Linked DNA regions of Diceros bicornis minor. Each later gene encodes a partner of the first gene's protein in a complex. Links are inferred from orthologs where the notes say so. Each region holds a gene or a part of one and is shown on either strand. Other genes may lie near its edges.

The links.
Region 2: the proteins of KCNMA1 (region 1) and LRRC26 are in contact, whole or in part, in a cryo-EM structure (PDB 7YNZ), measured with the Homo sapiens proteins. The link is inferred for Diceros bicornis minor from reciprocal best matches to the Homo sapiens genes KCNMA1 and LRRC26. Residues at the interface, in NP_001154824.1 of Homo sapiens: Pro78, Cys79, Asp80, Ser81, Arg82, Gln84, Trp88, Ala92, Ser93, Val96, Thr97, Glu155, Trp158, Met159, Ser161, Val162, Trp165, Cys206, Leu226, Leu227, Phe229, Gly230, Leu231, Phe233, Ile234, Asp251, Phe252, Pro256, Phe259, Val260; in NP_001013675.1 of Homo sapiens: Gly204, Cys205, Gly206, Cys207, Ala208, Arg236, Leu237, Ala249, Phe250, His252, Cys253, Ala254, Gln255, Leu257, Arg260, Asp261, Leu262, Val264, Val265, Tyr266, Leu268, Gly269, Pro270, Ser272, Phe273, Ser276, Leu277, Cys280, Leu281, Leu283.

The regions. Positions count from the first base shown.
Region 1 is NC_080745.1:29,680,603-29,692,895, forward strand, and holds the start of KCNMA1 (calcium-activated potassium channel subunit alpha-1), read left to right. Parts: upstream 1-7,500; coding exon 7,501-7,529; intron 7,530-7,670; coding exon 7,671-7,732; intron 7,733-7,777; coding exon 7,778-7,857; intron 7,858-12,293. UniProt on the Homo sapiens protein: Potassium channel activated by both membrane depolarization or increase in cytosolic Ca(2+) that mediates export of K(+). It is also activated by the concentration of cytosolic Mg(2+).
Region 2 is NC_080767.1:43,701,397-43,713,260, reverse strand, and holds LRRC26 (leucine-rich repeat-containing protein 26), read left to right. Parts: upstream 1-9,823; 5' UTR 9,824-10,027; coding exon 10,028-10,700; intron 10,701-10,782; coding exon 10,783-11,090; 3' UTR 11,091-11,304; downstream 11,305-11,864. Other genes in the region: ANAPC2 (anaphase-promoting complex subunit 2), read left to right, coding at 1-40, 4,306-4,435, 4,681-4,916, 5,015-5,227; TMEM210 (transmembrane protein 210), read left to right, coding at 7,964-8,051, 8,193-8,328, 8,552-8,581, 8,767-8,968. UniProt on the Homo sapiens protein: Auxiliary protein of the large-conductance, voltage and calcium-activated potassium channel (BK alpha). Required for the conversion of BK alpha channels from a high-voltage to a low-voltage activated channel type in non-excitable cells.

The DNA.
Region 1 (12,293 bases):
AAAATCAATATTAGAGATAGTCTAGTTCAGAGTTGGTAAGTTTTTCTCTAAAGGGCCAGATAGTAAATATTTTAGACTTTGCAGACCGTAGGGACTCTGTCACAACTACTCAATTCTGCCATTGTAGTTTGAAGGCAGCCACAGACATGTACCAGGTGTGACTGTGTTCCAGTAAAACTTTATTGACAAAAACAGGTGGTGGGCCAGATTTGTTTCATGAGCCATAGTTTGCTGACTCTTTCGTCTTGTTCAACTCCTTATTTTATAAATAAAGAAATTGAAAGGCAGAAATTGAAAGAAATTCCTTAGGAAGGAATTTCCTAAAATAATATAGCACAAAAGCAAGAGTACTAGAGAACCCATTTATAATGGGAAAAGTTATAGACACACAGAGACACACACGGGTAAATACAGGCACACACGCTCACACCATCTCCATTAGCACCTTATGTCTGAGTATTCATATATAATTTCCACCTTGACCTCAGTGACTGTCTCCCTAGGAAAACTATGTCTTGTGGCCAAGCAGGGCCTCACCTCAAGGTGTAAGCTGTGTTTACACTGCCTGGGCTGTACCTCAGCCCCTTTACAGATTCATGTTTTGTGCTGCTCTTCAAAGACTGATCTTGCCAATATAGCTATCAGCTCCTTGAGCAAAGATAGAGACCTTAGGGCCGGCCCCGTGGCTTAGCGGTTAAGTGCATGCTCCGCTGCTGGCGGCCCGGGTTCGGATCCCGGGCGCGCACCGATGCACCACTTCTCTGGCCATGCTGAGGCCACGTCCCACATACAGCAACTAGAAGGATGTGCAACTATGACATACAACTATCTACTGGGGCTTTGGGGGAAAAAATAAATAAATAAAATTATTTAAAAAAAAAAAATCCTTCATGTCCAAAAAAAAACCAAGCAGAACCTTCCCTTTAAAAAAGATAGAGACCTTAGAATTACTCTTTTTGGTTATTTTCCCCATATTTCCATGCGATGACATTTGGATATTGCTCCAGGAAACATACACATCTAATCCATGAACTGAAAATATGTGCTACTTGCTTTAACGTGAGGGGGATGATCTATCGAAATCAGGAGAAAGAAAAACACCGGTCTTTCCCTTTATCTTCCCAAATATATCGCATGTATGGCATTTTACATTAACATTGTGTACACAGGCTGGACCACTCCATCCTTATCTCCTAGGGCCCAAAAGAAAATATGTATCAAATGTGTACGTCTTTCAAATACAAATAATCCTGTTGGTTTAATAGAGTTAAATAGATACGTTCCCTGCTGTGCTGTTTGCACGTGAAATTGGACCAGTTGAACAAAGTGGAGGTGCACATGGGTATACACTTGATCAAATATGTGACATTCATGGCCTTCATTTCTCCCTTTAGGTGGCTCGTGGTGCTGGTGACATTTTCTTCAGCATCCTCTACTTTTTTTTTCAGTGGTACCTGGTGGTAAATTCACACACAGCTCACGTTTCCATCTTACTCTCTCTTCCTCTCATCTATGCTCCCCCCTACCTTTTTTTTTTGTACATTTTAGGCAAATCTACGTAAAATTCTTATATCACCTACAAATGCCGTACCTAAAGACCAGAGGCTTCAAGGGCCTGTATTTTTAGTAAGAAGGCTCCCATAGCAAACATTTAGGTCCTGCTCTGTGCAATTGGGAGTAAACTGAGATTTCATTTGAGTTTTTTTTAAGTCCCCTAAGTGAGGTTTCTTCTCAAGGAAGCATGTGGTAATTCCCCTCCAGGACTTGATAATGGCTCTTCATTTTATCCTATAATACCCATAAATAGAATTTATATTTTGGGTATGAATCAATAAGTTGAAGGTGTGCTTTCTTTATATTATTAAACATGAAATTTTGTCTTCGTTTGAAGAAAGATGCACTAGATTGCACTAGATTTGTTACTGGTGACCCAGCATCACTGGATGGGGAAACATGAGTCAGAGGAGTCACTGAATCCAGCAGGCACCCACAATAGGTTGTGAACTGCCTGTCACTGGAGATGTTCAAAGGGAGGCAGCATCACATTTGGTGGTGCTGTTGCTGACTGTTGGTCAGACTTCATCCTTGTTGTTTTAATTAGGTTTTACAGAAAACTAGATCTAGGAGATGCTCCAGGATAAAAATGGAACTTGGACAGAATTCATTTCTCATCCCCTTTCAAGATGGCCATGTGTATCAGCGTGTAAGGCGCGAAGAAGTCCTGCAGTAAGAAAGCAGGACGTCGTTTTGCCCAGCATTTCCCATTCCTCTTTCACCACAGAACCTTTTCCCTGTGAAGCACCTGTAGGCATCACAAAGCACACACTTTGGGAAACGTGTAACTGCCCAGGGATGGGCAAACTGCGACCAGTGGCTCACAGCTGGGTCACTGCCTGTTTTGTACAGCTCACAAGCTAAGGATGGTTTTTACATTTTAAAAAAAAATCAAAAGAATATTTTGTGACATGTGAAAATTATATGAAATTCAAATTTCAGTGTTCATAAACAAGATTTAATTGGGACGCAGCCATGTTCACTCATTTACATATCATCTCTGGCTGCTTTTGCAATGCGCTACAACGGCAGAATTGAGTAGTATCCACCGAGTCCGAAATACCCGCTAGCCTAAAATAGTTACTGTCTGGCCCTGTACAGGAAAAGTTTGCCAACCTCGGGACTAGATCATCAAGTTCCCCTTCTGCTCTATGACTGTCAAGATTCCTCTCTAAGTGGCCAGTGGGACTTGGTCCACTCTTCCTCGTGGCACAAGGTGATTGATAAGATGTACCATCTATCCCCTTCTCATGGAGAGCCGCTACATTTACTTCCACAAGCTCAACTAAATGATGCGGTAGACATGTGGAGACAGAAGCCAGAGCCAAGTGGGCCCCCAAGTTCCACAGCAGGTTCTCAGCTGGCTCAGCATATGGATTTCCCGTTCCCAAGGTCAGTGGAAAGTGTCTGGGAATTTGTAGCAGGGTCATTCCCGAAGTCTTCCCTCCACCTGTCTGCATCCCCTGCAGTCAGCACACCCCAGGCCTCTCCCGGCAGCCCAGAGTCTAGTCCCTACCACGAGGACACTCTTGGTTCGGGCCTGCAGGCCAGGCGCCTCAGCCATGCTGGCTGCTGCAGGCCACGTGCTCGGTGTGCCGACCTCTCCAGCGCATTCTGTAAAGAGCAGCTGTTAATTTTACTAGCTGGTGTGCTGGCTTCTCTGACCTCCCCTGTGAAAAGGAAGGAGAGGTTCAGAAATCAGTCTTCAGCTCTAGAGAGAGGAAGATCCTCCTGGCCCAGGAGCAACCTGCTTCGTCCCAGCCATTCATCTCTGGCTCCCAGGGCCTCTGGGCTCCCGTGGCAAGTGCTGATGCTGCTGTTGCCTCTCTCCTCTGGAGTTTCTGGGGGAAGTGGGTGCTTGCTTTGTCCTTCCACCTCATCTGTCTGTCCGTTCATCCATCTATATCCATGCATCCATCTTTCCAGTCCACATACCTTTACTGGTGTTCCTCGGAACACAGAATTGAATGTAGCACCCAGTCAGTGGGTGCCTAATAAATAAGGCAGGGCACTTCAGGGCCTTCCCTTGCCGGTCAGCAGTGCATCTGTTCTCTGTGTTTCAGCTTCTCTGTCGGGACTGGGAGATAGGAGCCCTGCCCCCTTGCTGATCCAGCGTTATCTGAACTGGGGCTCCTACTCTCCTCTGATCTCCGTCTGGCTCCTTGTGTCACCTTCTCATTTGATTGGAACCAACAAGGAGGATAGGTGGAGCACTTAGCATCCCCAGGTCTCCAGCTCCTGCTTTTCCTCTCTCCCCAGAACATGCACTTGTGGGAAGGGGTGCTGAGGCCCTTGGAAAGTGGAGGGCTGCTATGTGTGGTACAGTAGGGCGGTTAGGAACCCAGCCTCTACAGTCACTCTGCTGAGTCCCAGCTGCACCACTCCCTAGGGCTTTTGCCCTGGGCTAGTCGCTTCATCTTTTGGTGCCTCTGTTTCCTCATCCCCCTTCAATGGGCATAATAATAGTCCCTGTCTCTTAATGTTGTTGTGAAGATTTGATGCATTAATACATGTGAAATGTTTGGAATGGTGCTTATTACATGGTTAGTGCCTAATAAGCATTAGTGATTATTATTTTGTTATTGTTGTGTGAGCCCAGTCAGTATGTCCTGGAGGAAATGGGCTCGTGCGGAGACACACGGGGTAGGGAGAGGAGAATAAATCCTTTCCTGGGACAGAGATGGAGCAGCCCTGAGACCTCACCAAACCCAGACGTCCTCTCAGAGTACTGAGCTAGCTTTGGGCATGGCCACTTGAAAGGGGTCTGAGTGTCTCAGGCAGGGCCTGGTTTCGGTCCAGCCAGCTGAGGATGTTTGCTCCACGCACACAATTCAGACCCTGTCATTTCTGAAGCTGGCTCATGCAGCCTGACTCACCATTGTCCAGTCAGCCAGGAAATTCTCACTTCCTATAGCCTCCCCGAGCTGGCCGGGGGCCGAAGGCAGGCTGGGCTCTCCCTGGGAGCTGTGCGTTGTCAGCGCGTGTATCACAGGAAACACCTTGGCAGGATGACAGATGCGTCTTCATTGCGTTCACTGTGGTCCCTGTGTCCAGTCCTCCCTGGGTGTGGGCGAGGCTGACAGACACAGGGCTGGTTTCAGAGGGCACGTCAGCACCAGCATGCAGGGAGGTGTCTTTAATATCCATTTTGGTGTGCAACAACCACAAATCCATTGGAAGGAGGCAGGAAAGTGTAAGTCACCAGAAGATAAGGAGACAGATTCTCCTGTACATGCAAGGCGTCTCTTCTGAGCTATTTCATCCTTTCCTTCAAACGTTCCTGGGGCACCTGCTAGGTGTCAGACGCTATTCAAGGCACTGGACACATGTTGGTTTTTCTAGCAAAATCTGTAAAGTGAAATCATCCACAGTGCTGAAATGAAAATGTGATGACTGCATTTTGTTACAATGCTTTTGGGTAGCAAGATTTGTGAAGTAGTTTGGTGATAAATCAGAGCCTGTGACCTGCGCATCAGCCCTTGGACAGGCCTGGGAGCCTGACTCTTCTAATCTTGATCTCACATCCTGGGTCTTCCTGTTGCTGGACTCAAGGGGCCTGAGCAACTGTGTTAGACTCACTCCTTCCTTCCTTCCTTCCTTCCTTCCTTCCTTCCTTCCTTCCTTCCTTCCTTCCTTCCTTCCTTCCTTCCTTCCTTCCTCCCTCCCTCCCTTCCTCCCTTCCACCAGTAAGAGCTGGCGCCCCCTGGAGGCTCTGTAGGAAATGGAATGCCTGTATTTGGAGCCCACCATCTTGGGCTGGGAGAGCTTCTCACCCAGCTTTTCCCCAGGGGCCTTCGGAGGATGCCAGTAGTGTAGCAGCCCCTATTTGCCAGAAAAATATGCCGGTGGACTGAGACTCTCCTTAGAGCCTCCATTTCCGCTGCAAGGAAGTTGGTTTAGCAGGGATGCTCAAAAATAGAGATGATGATGATGACGAAGTCGCCAGCCATTGTCGTTGCGGGGAAGCACGTGCTTGGAAAGTCACACTTGGGACCACATGCAAGCTAATGCTTCCAAGTTTAGTTTACTAGGCTATGTTTAGGAGGAGGCAGACTGATGCATGCCTCCAGGCCCCAAACATCCCAATTTGGTGCACTAGAAGCCCCATTTTTAGGGTCTGGGTCCAGAGTGAGGCTTTTTCCAGAAAAACAGCTACTTCAGGGGAATGACAACAGAAATCCACCATTTGCCCTAAAAATTTTATTGCAAAAAATATTCTCCTGTGTTTGAGTAGTGAGGGAAGTAGGACAGGACAGTTGCTTCTCTGTCTTTCTTAAGGAATTAGGGCACTCGATTACTGGGTGCATCTAAGGAATTAGATGCACCCAGGCCTCTTACGCACCAGGGCTATCTTTTTGCCCATCCAGTTAATTTTAGTTCAGAAAATTGGCCTGGTGCTGGCATGGCAGGCACAAAGAAGCTGAAGCCAGGGGCCTGTCTGAGTGGAAACTTGGTTCCCAGTTCCCAAGCCTGCGGGGACACAGATCTTTCCCGAGGGCCTGGAAGGTTACCTGTAAACTGTGCCTCCTCCCTGGGCAAGCAGACCTCTGGGCCTTCCTTGTTTGTGGGAGGTGGGTTAATCCAGAAAGTAAATGGACTGGGCATACTGGTTTCTTATACCTGTGGAGAATCTAGAATCCAACAGATTAATCTGAAGGGTTGAGAAACCCTCATGTTCCTAGAACTCTTCCCAGACTGCCTTAGCAAAGAGGCTCAATTTTGACCTTTACCCCATTTCTCTTTTTAGTCTTTTTTTTTTTTCCTTTCCTTTTTGTGGCTGTTGGTGGAGCAACTGTCCTAAGGGAAACGGGGAGCAGCTCGTTGAAAAGCAGAGAGGAAGAAAAGACCCTGTTCCCACACCACCCTCCCTCAAATTCAGGCTTTGTTTACAGTAAAAATAGCTTGAAACAGAGGCCGAATCACAAAAAGGTGGCATTGCAGAGGGCAGAGGCTACTGGTTCCCTGGCTGCCACACCAGCCTGCTGGGTTTGTTGGCCTCTGGACCCCTACTTGCACAGGAAGGCGTGGGATTTGGAATCCCATTGGGAGGAGTCCAGACCATCCTCCTTGTGTGTCCTGCTGGATCTTTCTGGAGCTAATTATACCAGCCGGGTACTCACAGAGCCTTCTGCCTGGGCTTGTGCCCTGGGGGAGAAAATAACTTCCGGCAAAGAAAGCGGCTGTTTTCAGGACCTGCTTAATCCCACAGGCAACTACGTGGGCTCCCAGGGAAGCTGCCCAGAGCCGTGAGGTGGGCAACTTGGTTGCCACCTTAGACCTCTCCAGGAGGAAAGCTTAGATCATCAGAAAGGACAAGTTTACTCACCTAGGTTCATGCTATGTGTGTCTCTGGGCCTTGGGGATTGGTGACCGTGTTTGAGATCAGTTTGGGATCTGAGAGTAGAGGTGACAATCACTTACTTTCATCTGAGGAACTGTGATCAGCAGAAAACTGGGTTCTTATCCTGGCTCTGCCGAAACCTCTCTGGTGACCTTGGACAAGTCAATTCCCTTTCAAGGCCTCGGTGCCTCCATGGATAAAATGAGTGGGGGAGCGATAGTCTGTGCCCTTGCAGCCCAAAATGTTTCTATGTTTTCTCGTTCCCTCTACTGTCCTTCAATCAGCAAAGGCAGCAAGGGTTTACGGCAGACCTATTATGCACTTGGCAATGTGCTAGGCACTAGGAGAACTGCAGAAGGAGAGAGAAGATTAGTCCTCTTGTCCGGAGCAGCTGGAGAGAAGCAGGGTATAGTCCAGGGGCATCCCTGCGTGGCCCTCTCCTGGCTTTGCATTTCATTAAAAATAAATCCGAAAACTCTCCCTGTGTGATAAGGCCTGTGCTTCTCACTCATCTCCTAGAACTCTTTTCTTCTGGACTCCTTTCCAGGTGTATCTCAATATACAGAGAAGGGAAGCATCTAGCAGAGGGAGCAGGGCCCGTGACCATGGAGTTGGGCGGGATGAAGGATGCCTTGTGAGGAGGGGGTCACATCTCCAAGGGCCAGGTCCTTCCCAGAGAAGTTAGCTTCTTTGAAGCCATTTCAGTCTTGAATCTCCCTCCTTGAGCCATCTTCAGCCAGAAACCTCTGAGGGGATCACGTTCCGATTCCTCCAGCACCAAAATTGACGTTAAGAGCCTTTTCGCCATTGAGCAGCCTCTGCTTGCGGAGACCCTGGGTGAGATACGGCATCTGTCCTGTGCTCTTTGCCTTGCTTTGACAGAAGTGCTGCTGAAGCAAGTCATTGTTCCTGAAAGTCCATTCCTCTTCCGGAGGCAGAAGCAGCTCCATCTCTTTGTACCTGTAAACATTTCATAATAGGCTCATTTATTTAAAATAATGACCGGCAGAGGCACCCAGGAGGGGCTGGGGAGCTAGGAAGCATTGCTGCGGCGAAAGTCGTTTTTTATTTCTGGAGCAAGGTAGCACACCCAGGGTGCTGGTGGGAGTTGCCAGGCTAACCCCCAAATTTACAGCCAGGGTGCGAAATTTGAGGATTCTTAGTGGATTTGGTGTTGCAGAAATTCTCCAAATGAAGCTTCATTTTGGGTGAACTTTTTTTTTTTTTTTATTGGTTTATAACATTGTAAAAATTTCTGGTGTACATCATTGTACTTCTATTTCTGCATAGATTACATCATGTTCACCACCAAAATACTAATTACAACCCATCACCATACACATGTACCAAATTATCCCTTTCACCCTCCTCCCTCCCCCCCTTCCCCTCTGGTAACCACCAATCCAATCTCTGTCCCTATGTGTTTGTTTATTGTTGTTATTATCTACTACTTAATGAAGGAAATCATACGGTATTTGACCTTCTCCCTCTGACTTATTTCACTTTGCATTATACCCTCAATGTCCATCCATGTTGTCACAAATGGCTGGATTTCATCGTTTCTTATGGCTGAGTAGTATTCCATTGTGTATATATACCACAGCTTCTTTATCCATTCGTCCCTTGATGGGCACTTAGGTTGCTTCCAAGTCTTGGCTATTGTGAATAACGCTGCAATGAACACGGGAGTGCATGTACCTTTGCAAATTGGTGTTTTCAAGTTCTTTGGATAAATACCCAGCAGTGGAATAGCTGGATCATATGGTAGTTCTATCCTTGCTTTTTTGAGGAATCGCCATACTGTTTTCCATAGTGGCTGCACCAGTTTGCACTCCCACCAGCAGTGTATGAGAGTTCCCTTCTCTCCACATCCTCTCCAACACATGTTGTTTCCTGTCTTGTTAATTATAGCCATTCTGACGGGCGTGAGGTGATATCTCATTGTAGTTTTGATTTGCATTTCCCTGATAGTTAGTGATTTTGAACATCTTTTCATGTGTCTGTTGGCCATCTGTATATCTTCTTTGGAGAAATGTCTGTTCAGGTCTTTTGCCCATTTTTTAATTGGGCTGGTAGTTTTTTTGTTGTTGAGATGCATGAGTTCTTTATATATTTTGGAGATTAAGCCCTTATCAGAAGTATGGTTTGCAAATATCTTCTCCCAATTGTTAGGTTGTCTTTTCGTTTTGTTGATGGTTTCCTTTGCTGTGCAGAAGCTTTTTAGTTTGATGTAGTCCCATTTGTTTATTTTTTCTATTGTTTCTCTTGCCCGGTCAGATGTGGTGTTTGAAAAGATGTTGCTAAGACCGATGTCGAAGAGCGTACTGCCTATGTTTTCTTCTAGAAGTTTCATAGTTTCAGGTCTTACATTCAAGTCTTTAATCCATTTGGAGTTAATTTTTGTGCATGGTGTAAGGCAAGGGTCTACTTTCATTTTTTTGCATGTGGCTATCCAGTTTTCCCAACACCATTTGTTGAAGAGACTTTCTTTTCCTCATTGTATGTTCTTGGCTCTTTTGTCAAAGATTAGCTGTCCATAGATGTGTGGGTTTATTTCTGGGCTTTCGATTCTATTCCATTGATCTGTGTGTCTGTTTTTGTGCCAGTACCATGCTGTTTTGGTTACTATAGCTTTGTAGTATATTTTGAAATCAGGAAGTGTGATACCTCCAGCTTTGTTCTTTTTTCTCAGGATTCCTTTAGCTATTCGGGGTCTTTTGTTGTTCCATATAAATTTTAGGATTCTTTGTTCTATTTCTGTGAAAAATGTTGTTGGAACTTTGATAGGGATTGCATTGAATCTATAGATTGCTTTAGGAAGTGTGGACATCTTAACTATGTCAATTCTTCCAATCCAAGAGCACGGAATATCTTTCCATTTCTTTGCGTCGTCTTCAATTTCTTTCAGAAATGTTTTATAGTTTTCGGTGTACAGATCTTTCACCTCTTTGGTTAAGTTTATTCCTAGGTATTTTATTCTTTTTGTTGCAATTGTAAATGGGATGGTATTCTTAATTTCTCTTTCTGCTACTTCGTTGTTAGTATACAGAAATGCAACTGATTTTTGTATGTTGATTTTGTATCCTGCAACTTTACCATATTCGTTTATTACTTCTAAAAGTTTTCTGGTGGATTCTTTAGGGTTTTCTATATATAAAATCATGTCATCTGCAAATAGTGACAGTTTCACTTCTTCCTTTCCAATTTGGATCCCTTTTCTTTCTTTCTCTTGCCTGATGCTCTGGCTAGGACTTCCAGTACTATGTTAAATAGGAGTGGTGACAGTGGGCATCCTTGTCTGGTTCCTGTTCTTAGAGGGATAGCTTTCAGTTTTTCACCATTGAGGATGATATTAGCTGTGGGTTTGTCATATATGGTCTTTATTATGTTGAGGTACTTTCCTTCTATCCCCATTTTATTCAGAGTTTTTATCATAAATGGATGCTGTATCTTGTCAAATGCATTCTCTGCATCTATTGAGATGATCATGTGATTTTTATTCTTCATTTTATTAATGTGGTGTATCACGTTGATTGATTTGCGAATGTTAAACCATCCCTGCATACCTGGAATAAATCCCACTTGATCATGGTGTATAATCTTTTTAACGTATTGTTGTATGCGATTTGCTAGTATTTTGTTGAGGATTTTCGCATCGATGTTCATCAGTGATATTGGCCTGTAATTTTCTTTTTTTGTGTTGTCCTTGTCTGGTTTTGGTATCAGGGTAATGTCAGCTTCGTAGAATGAGTTAGGGAGCTTCCCCCCCTCCTCAATTTTTTGGAAGAGTTTGAGAAGGATAGGTATTAAGTCTTCTTTGAATGTTTGGTAGAATTCACCAGGGAAGCCGTCTGGTCCTGGACTTTTATTTTTGGGGAGGTTTTTGATTACTGTTTCGATCTCCTTACTGGTGATTAGTCTATTCAAATTCTCTACTTCTTCTTGATCCAGTTTTGGAAGGTTGTATGATTCTAAGAATTTATCCATTTCTTCCAGATTGTCGAATTGGTTGGCATATAGCCTTTCATAGTATTCTCTTATAGTCTTTTGTATTTCTGAGGTGTCTGTTGTAACCTCTCCTCTTTCATTTCTGATTTTACTTATTTGTGCCTTCTCTCTTTTTTTCTTGGTGAGTCTAGCTAAAGGTTTGTCAATTTTGTTGATCTTTTCAAAGAACCAGCTCTTGGTTTTATTAATTTTTTCTATTTTTTTTTGGTCTCTATTTCATTAATTTCTGCTCTGATTTTTATTATTTCCCTTCTTCTACTGATTTTGGGCTTTGTTTGTTCTTCTTTTTCCAGTTCCTTTAGGTGCATTGTTAGATTGTTTATTTGAGATTTTTCTTGTTTCTTGAGATAGGCCTGTATCGCTATAAACTTCCCTCTTAGAACCGCTTTTGCTGTATCCCATAAATTCTGGCATGTCATATTTTCATTTTCATTTGTCTCCAGGTATTTTTTTATTTCTTCTTTGATTTCTTCATTAACCCAGTCGTAGTTCAGTAGCATTTTGTTTAATCTCCATGTATTTGTGGCTTTTCTGATTTTCTTCCTATAGTTGATTTCTAGTTTCATACTGTTGTGGTCAGAAAAGATGCTTGGTATTATTTCAATCTTCTTAAATTTATGGAGACTTGTTTTGTGGCCTAATATGTGATCAATCCTGGAGAATGTTCCATGTGCATTTGAAAAGAACGTGTATTCTTCGGTTTTTGGATGGAATGCTCTGTATATATCTACTAGGTCCATCTGTTCTAGTGTGTCATTTAAGGCCAATGTTTCCTTATTGATCTTCTGTTTGGATGATCTATCCGTTGGTGTAAGTGGAGTGTTAAAGTCCCCTACTATTATTGTGTTACTGTCTATTTCTGTTTTTATGTCTGTTAATAATTGCTTTATATATTTAGGTGCACCTACATTGGGTGCATAGATATTTACAAGTGTTATATCCTCTTGTTGGATTGTTCCCTTGATCATTATATAATGCCCTTCTTTGTCTCTTTTTACAGTTTTTGTTTTAAATTCTATTTTGTCTGATATGAGTACTGCTACCCCAGCTTTCTTTTCATTGCCATTTGCGTGGAGTATCTTTTTCCATCCCTTCACTTTCAGTTTGTGAGTGTCTTTAGGTCTGAAGTGTGTCTCTTGTATGCAGCATATATACGGGTCTTGTTTTTTTATCCAATCAGCCACCCTATGCCTTTTAATTGGAGCATTTAGTCCACTGACATTTAAAGTAGCTATTGATAAGTATGTACTTACTGCCATTTTTTTAATTTTTTTTTTCCTCAGTGTTGTAGTAGTCCTTCTCTGTTCCTTACTTCTTCTATACAGAATTGATGGTCACTTTAGTTTGACCTCTGTCTGAAAGCTGTACTCTTTAACTCCCCTCCTCCCTC
Region 2 (11,864 bases), on another chromosome or scaffold:
GGCCCTGGAGGTCTACTGCAAGAAGTATGAGAAGCTGAAGGTACTGCCCGCCTCCCTGCGGCGGGGTCCGGTTGGCAGGCGGGCTGTTCCTGACCTGGTGACCCTTCCAAACTCGGCCTGCCCAGGATGGTGCCGGGCTGTGCAGGGGCAGTTGGGTGTGGCCGTCTCTGCAGTCAACGCTTGCTCCCCCTGCCGTCCCCACCTAGGACCCTGTGCGTGTGCATGTGTGCATGGGCGTGTGAGCATGTGCTCCCGCACACACCTGGGGTGGGGATGCATCTCCTGTCTGGGCTTCTTCTTCCACTGTCTACTCTCTGGCCTCTCAGACTGGGGGGTGGGGTGCTGCGCCTGCCCCAGGCAGAGTTGGGGCTGTGGCGTCTGCCCAGTAGCGTCCAGGAAGTCTCCAGATTGCTTTTGAGGCATTTGACCTCTGTGACTCGGACCTTTCCCAGCTTACTTCTCTGGAAGCTGCTTTCCTGTGAGCTAGGGCGCTGGAGCACCAGCACTGTGCTGACTGCTGTCAGGGTCCCGGGGGCCTGGGCTCAGAGAAGGAGAGGGACCGGAGCACCGGAGGCATGTGGTGTGGTCAGGGGTGCGGCCTGGATGCGGACTGGCCTAGTTTAGTCCTTGTTTCTTCCAGCAGCTGAGTCCAGCATTCTTGGGGCGGGGAGTCCAGGTGGGAGGTGTGGGAAGATGGGGCCTGGTGTGGACAGGGGTTGAGAGTACATAGGGAGGACTCTTCCTTCCACGAGATGGTTCAGCAGAGATGTGTCGGGAGAGAGGAGGGAGTTAGGACTCATACCAGGTTTCTGGGGACAGGTGGAGGAGCAGGCTCTGGGGCATTCAGTCTCACAAGTGGGTTGTGGGGCATGAGAAGGCACAGGGTGCAGCCCAGCGAGCACTCGGGCCTGAGGGGATGCCGGGCACCCAAGCGAGGCCGAGTCCAGCAGGACCTAGGGTGCAGAACCTGAGCCCCAGGAGCACCCGGGACACCCCCAGAGATGGGGGGCGGGGAGCAGCCAGGGCTCAAGGAGCCCTCTGGACGAAGCCCTGGGAGGGAGGCAGGTGGGGCTGGGGTGGAGTGGGGTGGGGGGCCGAGCAGGGCTGGGCGGTAGGAGGGGCGGCAGCTTCTCCAGGTTTGCTGTGAGAGAGGTGCTGGGTGTAGATGCATTTGGTGTTACAGGCCAGGAACCTAGTTGCTAGGAGAGGAGGGCTCAGTGCAGGACAGCCAGTCCCTAGAGGGGAGCTTCCTTCCAGAGACAGGTGAGGGCGGGATCCTGGAGTGGGGAGGCTCCAGTGAGCGCTGGCTGCCAGGCCTCCCCACTTCCCGCTCCTGTCCACGGTGTGGCACTCGCTCTGTGGAGCCTGCCAGCACTGCAGACGCCTCCCCCTGGTTGAGGAGATCTGTGTGCTCGGTGCCCCCCTGCCTCTTCTGGCTGACCCGTTGGTGTGCAGCCTCCCTCTGCTCTGCATTACCCCTGCCAGGGGAGGCCCTGCTGGCTTCTACTAGGGTCTCCACTTGGGTCCTGGGGACCACGCAGGGTCCTGGCTCAATGTACCTGATGTGATGGCCACACTCCAGTACCCTTGGTCTTAACTCCAGCTAAACACTGGAGTGGCTAGGGCAGGTCCCAGGGCTGTGTCGAGAGGGCAGCCTGTGGCCATGGTGCCTCTGTCTCTGACCAGCTGAACTCCTGGCCTGAGGACCATGCTGGACATATGTGGGTGGCTATGCAGCCCACAGAGCATCCTTGCCCATGCTGTCTGCTGCTGGGCCTTGCATCTGCCCCGCTACTGGCTGGAGTGGTGGCTGTAAAGGTCGTGGCCTTGGAGCCAGAGCGCCTGGCTGCACCTCTACTGGTTGCGACCCAGGCAACCTGCGACTCTGCTTTGGTTTTCTCTGCAAAGTGGAGATGGTTGTTGGCTCCCCTTTACGAGCTGTGGGGATTGTAGAAGGACTCAGAGCAGTGTGTGGCCCTGTGACTGTACCGGTGTCCTGGAGGTGGCCGTAACCAAGTACCACAAATGGAGGCTTAAAACAACAGAAGTTTATTGTCTTGGTTCTGGCAACTAGAAGTCCAAAATCAAGGTGTCGTGGGATTGTGCTCCCTCCAAAGGCTCCAGAGGGGAGGCCTTCCTATCTCATCCAGCCTCTGGTGGCTGTAGGCACTTCTTGGCTTGTAGCTGCACCACTCCAACCTCTGACTCTGTCAGCACGTGGCTTCTCCCTGTCTTTCTCTCGCTCTGAATTTTCCTCTCCCTATAAGGATGCCAAGTCGTATTGGATTAAGGGCTCACCCATCCTGTTCTAGTACGACTTCATCTTAAATAATTACACCTGTGCTGACCCGACTTCCAAATAAGGTTACATTTTGAGGTACTGGGGGTTAGGGCTTTAACATCTTTTGGGGGGTCACAATTAAACCCATAAGAGTCCACCCTCTTGTCCCCTGAAATTCATGTTCTTCTCACATAAAAAATACATTCAGCTAATTCTAACATCCCCAAGAGTCTTGACTTTTCCAGCACCAACTCTAAGTTCTATCTCATCTACACGTCAACTCAAGGCCCCAGATCTCAGCATCTAAAGAGCGTCTCAGTCAGTTCAGGAATGGTTCCTCCTGGAGCACAGTGCCCCTCAGCTGTGGACCTGCGAAACCAGACACGTAGTTGTCTGCTTCCAAAGGACAGTTGTGGGACAGGTGTAGGGCAGACACCCCCATTCCAAAATGGAGAAGCCACCAGGAAGGAAGCCAGGTAGGGGTCACAGGCCCGAAGCAGTCTGAAACCCAGTGGAGGAAATTCGATTTGATTTCGAGGACTGAGAAAATCTTCCTTGGCTTGAGGCCATCTTCTCAGCCTGCAGGGGCGGTCCCCGCACCAGGCCGGGCCTCGGCACCCCAGCTCCCCTCAGACTCATGCTCTCATTGGCCGTCTCTCCGTTTTGGTCCAGGCTGGCAGCGTTTTGCTGGTATAAAATCCTCAGCAACCTTGTTGGCCTCCAAGCAGGTAATGGGCGTCCAAGCTGTCGGACGTGGACCCTCACGTCTTTCCTGGACAGCCTCTCTCTGTCCTGGCTTCTCTGAGCCTGCCGGCTAGCCCCACCATTACATGCTCATCTCTTTGGCCATACTCATGGCTTTGTCTCCAGAGCACACAGAAAAATGTCCAGATCAAGTGCTGCCTCCTCTGGCTCACCACTTCCTTCCTCGGTTTTTTCCTGTGTGTTTTACTACCAGCAGCAAGGAGACACCAGGCTGCACCTTGCGCACTTTGCTTGGAAATCTCCTTGGCTAAATATCCAAGGTCGTCACTTGCAAGTTCTGCTCCACACCCAGCAGAACACAGCTCTGTCAAGTCTCTGCCACCTTCTGACGAGGGTCGCCCATCTGCTTTCCACTGACATGTGTTCCTTTCCACAGCCCTCGCCAGGGTGGCCTCTGCTGTCCGTGTTTCTACTGACAGTCTGTTTAGCGCAATCCAGGCTTTTACAACCTGTGGCCCAGAACTCTCCCAGCCGCCACCCATCACCCAGCTCCACAGCCACTTTCACATTTTTAGGTATCTGTTACAGCAGCACCCCCATCCCAGGACCAAAATCTGAATTGCGTTCCTGTGGCCCCGTTAACAAAGAACCACAAACCAGGTGGCTTAAAATAGCAGCAATGTCTGGTCTCGGTTCTGGAGGCCTCTGGAGTCTGAGGCCACGGTGCCGGCAGGGCTGGGCTCCCTTGAGAGCTGCAGGAGAGAGTCCTTCCTGCCTCTTCCAGTGTCTGGTGGTGCCGGCAGTCCTCGGTGTTTCTTGGCTTGTAGCCACATCACTCCCGTCTCTGCCTCCATCTTCACGCCTTTGTGTGTCTGTCTTCACACCATCTTACTTCTTCTTGGAAGAACACCAATCATATTAGATGAGGGCCCACCGGACTCCAGGGAGGCTTCATCTTAACTAATTACATCTGCAGCAACCCTGATTCCAAGTCAGGTCCCGTTCCGAGGTCCTGGGCGGGTAAGATGTGGATGTCTGTTTTGGAGACAGTTCAACTCATAGCAGCAGCCCTTGCCATTAGGTGCTCACTGTTAGGCCCTCATTGTTAGGTCCTCGCCGTTACGTTGTGGTGGTTGAAGGAGCGGGGACCAGAGCCCCACTGTATGCTCATCCTGCTGCTGACTGCCTGCCAGCCTGCCGGGAGTGTGGGGAGCAGGTCAGGGAGCCCTTTCCCCGTTTGGGGTCAGGTAGCAGAGCCTCGTCCAGCTGGGCCTAGCCGGACCCGCTGGGCTGCCTGTGCTGAGCCTGGCCCTCCCCAGGCCATGCGGACCCTCAGCTGGAAGCACACCCTCGGCCTGGTGACCATGGACGTGGAGCTGGCCGACCGCACCCTGTCTGTGGCGGTAACCCCCGTGCAGGCGGTGGTCTTGCTGTACTTCCAGGACCAAGGTGAGCCCACTGGTCCCCAACTGGCCTGCCCCAGCCACACCTCCTGGGGGCCAGTGCTGGGCACGGCTCTATGTCTGCCGGGGTGGGGGGACCATGCAGGCAGCAGCCCCTTCCTCCCCTTTCCCACGGGGCCTGGCTGGGCCTCGTGGTCCTGCTGACCTCTGGGAAGCTGAGCTGGGCTAACGAGGCAGGGGGAGGCTCGGCCTTGCCCAGTCTGCCAAGAGTGCCTGGCTGCCCCTGCACAGCCAGTTGGACCCTGGAGGACCTGAGCAAGGTGGTGAAGATGCCCATGGCGCTGCTGCGCCGGCGGATGTCGGTGTGGCTGCAGCAGGGCGTGCTGCGGGAGGAGCCTGCTGGCACCTTCTCTGTGGTGGAGGAGGAGCGGCCCCAGGACCGAGACAACATGGTGCTCATCGACAGCGACGAGGAGAGCGACTCGGGCATGGCCTCCCAGGCTGACCAGAAGGAGGAGGAGCTGCTGGTGTGTGAGGTGGGGGGTGGCAGCCGGCTTGTGCCTCTGTGTGGTGGCCGCCTGGAGGGTGGCCTGCCTGACGGCCGGCCTGGACACTGTCCCCCCAGCTCTTCTGGACGTACATCCAGGCCATGCTGACCAACCTGGAGAGCCTCTCGCTGGAGCGCATCTACAGCATGCTGCGCATGTTCGTGGTGACGGGCCCCGCACTGGCCGAGATCGACCTGCAGGAGCTCCAGGGCTTCCTGCAGAAGAAGGTGCGCGACCAGCAGCTCATCTACTCGGCCGGTGTCTACCGCCTGCCCAAGAACTGCAGCTGACCTGCCAGGCCCTTCCCACGCCATCCCTGCCTCATCCCTGCCTCGGCATGTCCTTCTCAGGTCCCCCACCAGCAATCCCCACTCCCCGCCATGCCCAGCACCCCCCATGCCCCTGCCCAGCCCCCAGAGTGCAGAGTAAAGCAGATGGTTCTTCACTCTTTCCCTGTCCTGGTGGCTTTATGGGCCCTTCAGGGACACGTGATACAGCTTCTCCCCCCAGACAGGCCTCCACCTCAACCTGGCAGGGCCTGGCTCCCTGGGAGCAGGTGAGGGAAGCTGCACGAGTGGCCAGGCCCAGCCCTGGCCTGCACCCCTGCCTTTGGGCTCCAAACCTGAAGGAACCCTGGGATCTGGGTGTCTCTGGACTGCACGGGCTGGGGAAGGGCCTCAAATCTGAAGCCCGAGGCTCAAGCAGCAGTGCACCAGGGGTTGGCTGCCCTTGAGCCACCTCAGGGCCTCCAGCTCCAGCCTCACTCCTCTGGCCTTTGAAAGGAGCCTTCGGGTCATCCTGCCTCTGCCCAGCCTGAGGGTGTGGCCCCCAGGTGCTGAGCCGAGAGCCCCAGGGCTGCTGCTGGGACGTGTGGGCCCCACAAGAGGCAAGTGGTGGCCAAGCATCTGCTGCTAAGCCAAGACTTTGCCACCTCTCCAGCAGGAGGGGCTGCCTGGGACACGCCCTTGTGGCGAGGAGGACCCGGCATTTGTCCATCTGCCCCGCATAGGGTCGGGCTGCTGCAGGCTTCGGGGCTCACGATGGAGTGTGCTTTCAGAAGGCCAGTTACTTTCGTGCTGCGAGACGTGTGGCCTCGGTGCTCGCATCCTAAGGTGAAGGACCCCGTGAGCCCAGCCTTCCCAGGCGCAGGGGCGTGGGGCTGATGCGTCCAGAGCACTGGGTCCTGTCCAAGGCCCATACTGGGGCCCGCCACTGCCCAGGTCCCAGGAGGCAGGGGAAGGCATTAGTTCTGCCCAGGCCCGAGGCCTTCACAGCTGCCCTGGGCACTACAGCCTCTGTTGCTGAGACCTTCACTGGTCTAGCAGGAACCGCTCTAGTCTGGCGGCGCTGTCCTCACAGGCAACAAAGGCCCTTTGGAACCAGCGCCTCCGCTGTGCTGCTCCTGCCTGCTCGCGGTGCATCCCAGGTGCATCCCAGGCCCCGCACAGCTTCCGGGTCCCCACCAGGCTGCCTCCCAGCCCAGCGCTCACCCTACCTCTCTGCTTTGGCCTGTTCCACGTGGGGTCCTGACAGCAGTCCCACTTCCAGGACTTGCCCCTCTCACTCCAGAGAGTTCTGTTTGCACGGGGTTTGAAGGGGGAAATGGTAGGAGTGAGGCCCCTAGCCTTAGCAATTTAAGGAGTCTGATGAGCCAACAGCCCCCTCCCTTGGGCTCTGCGCACCAGTCCGCTCCAGTGCTGGCTGTGCTATGGGCATAAGAGGGCTTCCCGCCCTCCTCTGAGTGCTGCTGGAGGCCCCGCCTGGCACTGGGCTGGGTGCACCTTCATCATCCTAACCAGGATGCAAACCGGCTGGACTGGCCTAGCAGGGTGGCAGCACCAGCCCCCGGGCACTGGCACACCTGTTCCTTGTCCCTTTGGACTCAAGTTTGTGGACAAGTGTAGTAAAGTCCAGCGTGTCTTGGGTCACAGTATCACTCATGAGGCACAGAAGTGTGCCACAAGCTGCTGGCTGTTCCCCGAGGGCCCCACCAAGAGGAGGGCACCTGTGCCAGGGGTCACAGAGGTCCATGGTGGCCAGGGGCCAGCTGGGGCAGAGCTGTGCCCTTCTCCCTGGCACCCAGCGGGGTCATTGTGGGACGGGGCATTTCCTCCTGCTTGTGGTTGGCTTGGCAGGGCCTCAGGGGAGGGGGAAGGGCCAGTGCAGGAAGTGGGGGAGGAGGATGAGGTTAACCCTGACCACACCAGCCTGCAGGCAAGTCCCTTGGGCAGTGCTTGCCTAGTTTGCAGGAAGCTGCACAGGGAACAGACCCTTGGAGGGGCGGGCAGGTGGGCCCTGAGGTGGCAGTGGGCTCTAACTTGAATGCCACGTTTAAGCCAAGCCTTGGATGCTGCCTGCAGTCATTTCTGAGCCACCTGCTCCTAGAGGAGGGTGTTCTGGGAAAGCTGTGGCCTGTGGGTAGCGCCCCCCACCCCCGTCCTGGGTGATTGGGGATCCCTGAGGGGCCCTCCAGACCTGGGCATTGCTGGGGTGTGGGCAGGACCCTCCTCAAAACAGCCAGTGTGAGGGCAGCAGGCACAGGCCCACCCCAGCCTCCTCAGCCCCTGCTTGTCCCTGTCTTGGGGGGAGGGTGGTGACATCGGTCAGCCCCCCCCCCCCCCCCCCCCCGCCAAGCTGCTGCACCTCTTACCCTGAGGCCGAAACTGAGGCCCGGGGCTGCCCGTTGTGGACCTCCAGGTCACTCGGCCACTATCTTCACCACCTCAGGGGCCCAAGTGTGAGCCCCACCCCTTCCCTGTGAAGCGCTACCCCAAGGCCGGGGCAGCCCCACCATTTTCTCTGCCTCAGATCTGGCCAGTGCACTAGGAGTGGCTCCTGTCCACCGTACCTGACCCCCCTCCCCCCAGGGCTGCCTATTCAGAGCTCCTCAAATCCAGGTGCCCAGGGGCGAGTGAAACTCTAGCTGGGGCCCTGCCCCCACCCTCCCTGCCTCACAGCCCAACTGTGACGTCAGCGCCTTCCGACGAGTTCCGTCCAGAGGTTTGCCTTGGGGCCGGGGGCTGGACATGGCCCCCCGTCCCCAGCCTGACTCCTGCCTCGTCGGCAGCCCCCTCGGCCTGATATGTGTGTCCCTTTTGCTCATCCCAGCTGCAGGTGCCGCCTCCTGCCCCCATGCCCTGCCCCAGCCAGGCCCTCCCTGGTCCAGTTAGGCCAGGCACCTATGTCCTGGTGGCCACACGGTGGGTGGCACCCCAGGGTCTTCCGCCGTGGGTGACGATGGCCCTGTCTCTGCAGCTGGAACCTACTGCGAGTGCAGCCTTGGCCTCAGCCGCGAGGCCCTGATCGCCCTGCTCGTGGTGCTGGCGGGTGTCAGTGCCAGCTGCTTCTGTGCTCTCGTCATCGTGGCGGTTGGCGTCCTGCGAGCCAAGGGGTTCGTGAGCCCCAGGACTGGGGTGGGTGGGTGAGGGCCATGATGCCCACCCTGGGCCCTCGGTCTTGCCAGGAGAGGGGCCTCTGCCCCTGGTGGATGTCACCAGGGGCTTGGGAATGGCATTTCCCAGGCTGTGGGGTTGGTGGGGGGCGGAGGGCACTTTGGGGGTCCTGTAGGCCAGCCCCATTGTTCCAGGATTCACATCTACCTTTGTCCTCTCCAGTGAAACATGTCCTGGACACATGGACAGCAGGTGAGTGACCCTAGGGGAGGCCTGCCAAGGGTGAGCTGTGTCCCTGCTCCCTGCCCCGGGACGTGTGGTTCACAGACACATCGGGGCACTGACCCCAGGGCTGGGTGTGCCCTGGGCGGTCAAGGCCTCGTGAGCCGGTGCTGACCACCACCCGCAGCTGGCCTGACCCAGCCCGTGGCGTGCAGGTTGGTGGGGCACTTCGGGGTGCAGGAAGATCACATGGACTTGCACACGGTGCATGTGGAGTCCCACCTTGTGGAGCCTGACCTGGAGGTCTCCATGATGCCGTCCCTGGAGGATCACGGCCTCATGACCATCCCCATGGACTCGACGGCTGCATGTGTGACTCTGGAGGAGCCGCCCTGCCCACCCCCACCACTTGAGTAGGGCTGCACAGCGAGGGGGAAGGGGAATTAAACAGTATTTAGTAGTTCTGTGCTGTCGTCCCTGCCGGCTCCTCCTAGAGCCCCACCCCACTGGGCAGCTGTGTCATGGGGTGGGGAGGGGTCTGAGCGCACCTGGGTCATTTCTTTTATCTTCGATGGGGGTGCCCCGTTTCCACACCAGGCACCCACTGTCCACCTTCCAGGGCAGGGAGCCACACCCTTGGTGTTTCCACTTCCTCCTGCCATGGTCTCAGCCCAGCTCCTCCCTGCATCTTCCTGCTGCTTTGTCCCAAGAAGCTGGCAGGGCTCTTGGGCCCCTGCCTCCCCCCACCCCCCTAAACCCCCAGGACAGGACCTACAACTCTGGCGACTCCAGAGGGAGCAGCATTTGACAGGACTTGGGCTGGTGCCCTGCCCCACCCACAAAGTCTCCTTGAGGTTCCAGGAGAGTCCTTAGAGGGCAGGGTGGGGCAGACCTGACTGGGCTCCCCTGCGCCAGGTGTGCAGTTCCTCCTCCACCCCACAACCTGCCTCTGGGCTCAGCCCCATCATGTGCTCGTGCCCCACCAATCATCCGCCATCAGGATGGGACCGTCCTTATGTGGGGGGCCACTGTGTGTGTGCACTAGGGTCACTCTGCTGAGCCTGAGGCGGCGGTGAGGAGCAAGGTGCACTGGGTCCCGTTCCGTGTGTGGCATCCATGAGTTCGGTGGGTACAGGGGTGGGTGTGGCGGGGTGTCCAGCTGCTCAGGCCTCAGTGGGGCGAGGGGTGGTGGACGAAGCAGGGGAGGAGGGGGGGCGTCTCCTCAGCGCCGCTGCTGGCGCAGAGCCAAGAGGAGCCCAGGGCTCTGGGACAGATGGCTGGCAGTGCCGGGCGCTGGCTATGTGCCCAGCCCCCGCCCTAGGCGCGGGACCAGCCATGGGACAGGAACTGCCGGCCCTCGAGCCGGAGAGTTAATATCTGTGAGGGTGCCGCAGGGACGGACCGGCTCCGGGGACGGACGGGTTCCGGAGACGCACGTACAGCAGACCTCCCACCGCGGGTCCCACCGCTGCCCCCATGCGGAGTCCCTCTTTTCTCTTGCAGCGGCGGCCGCCGCTGTTGCTGCTGCTGCTGTCGCCGTGGCCAGTCTGGGCCCAGGCGCCCACTGCGGCCGCCCCCTCAGGGACCCCGGGTGCCCCGGACTGCCCCGAGGCGTGCGCGTGCGCATCGGGCGGTCAGGCCAACTGCTCGGGGCGCGAGCTGCCCGCCGTGCCTGCGGGCCTGAGCCGGAGCGTGCGCGCGCTGCTGCTGGACCACAACCGCGTGCGCGCGCTGCCGCCCGGCGCCTTTGTGGGCGCTGGCGCGCTGCAGCACCTGGACCTGCGCGGCAATGGGCTGCACTGGGTGCACCCGCGGGCCTTCTGGGGTCTGGGCGCTCTGGAGCAGCTCGACCTCAGCGCCAACCAGCTGGAGGCGCTAGCGCCCGGCACCTTCGCGCCGCTGCGCGCGCTGCGCAACCTCTCGCTGGCCGGCAACCGGCTAGAGCGCCTGGAGCCTGCGGCGCTGGGCGCGCTCCCGCTGCTGCACGAGCTCAGTCTGCAGGACAACGAGCTGTCTGCGCTCGCGCCCGGCATTCTGGCCGGCCTGCCCGCTCTCAATGCGCTGCGCCTCCGCGGCAACCCCTGGGCTTGCAGCTGCGCGCTGCGCCCGCTCTGCATGTGGCTGCGCAGGCACCCACGGCCCGCGCCAGGTGAGCCCTGGGGTCGCGGGCGGGCGGGGGCGGCCACTGACGCCGCCGCCGCCGCCTCCTGACGCCACCCCGTGTCCCGCAGAGACCGAGACGCTGCTCTGTGTGTCGCCGGTGAGCCTGACGCTCAGGCCCTTGACCGCCTTCCCCGATGCCGCCTTCCGCCACTGCGCACAGTCACTCGCCCCGCGGGACCTGGCCGTGGTCTACGCACTAGGGCCCTTGTCCTTCCTCGCCAGCCTGGCCGCCTGCCTGGCGCTGGGCTCCGTGCTCACCGCCTGCCGCCGCCGCCGCGCCGCCGCCCGCCGCCTGCCGAGGAGACCGCCGGATCCCGGCCCCTGCTCGGCCTCGCCCGCGGACCCTGGGAGCCCCGCTGCCGCCGCCCAAGCCTGAGGCTGCCCTCGAATCTTCCCTCTACTCCCTGCCCTCCTTCACACCCCTGCAGGCGTCAACAAGTAACACAGACCGAACTTCTCGTGACATTCCTTTAGGCATCACCACTGCACACACCGGGTCGTGGGGCGGTGCGCGCCGGGCCCTGGGACGGAGGGGCAGCGCGCGGCTGCGCACGGGCCGCAGGGGAAGGCACGCGCTCGGACACGGGAAGGGCTGGACCTGTACAAGGTGGTGGGCAGGGCTGAGGACAGTCCTGAGCCAGCGTCTGGAAGCCCATCCTGGGCTGCAGGCTGGAGGAGGCAAAGACAAGGCTCGGCCCTCTGGAGTCCGGAGGAGAAGGTCGGGCGGAGGCAACGGGAGCCGGAGCGCGCCCCTGGGAGGCGGCTGCCAGCGGGGGGGTCAGGGTCTGCCATCGGGGAAGGGCAGGGCCAGCTCGGAGGATGGGGTAAAGTGGAGGCGGGGCGAGGGTAAGAAGAGGGTAAGAGGTGGAGCCGAGGCTGCCAGGAGCAGGCGCTGGAGGAGGGGTGACCCAGCCAGCTGGGGTTGCGGCCCCCAGGCGGCTCTGGTGGTGGCTGGGGAAGGATGGGGCTTCAGTCTGTGCTCCAAGCCCCTCCGTTGGGGGCCAGGTTGGCCCCTCTCCCCACTGCTCAGAGACCCCAGGGCCCTGCCTCTGCCGGAGTGCCCTGTGGCCCTGCCCAGCCAGCTCAGCTCTGGCCCGTCCTCAGCCGCTCTGGTCCGTGCCTCGGTCCAGCAGGGGCTGCCCGCCAGGCA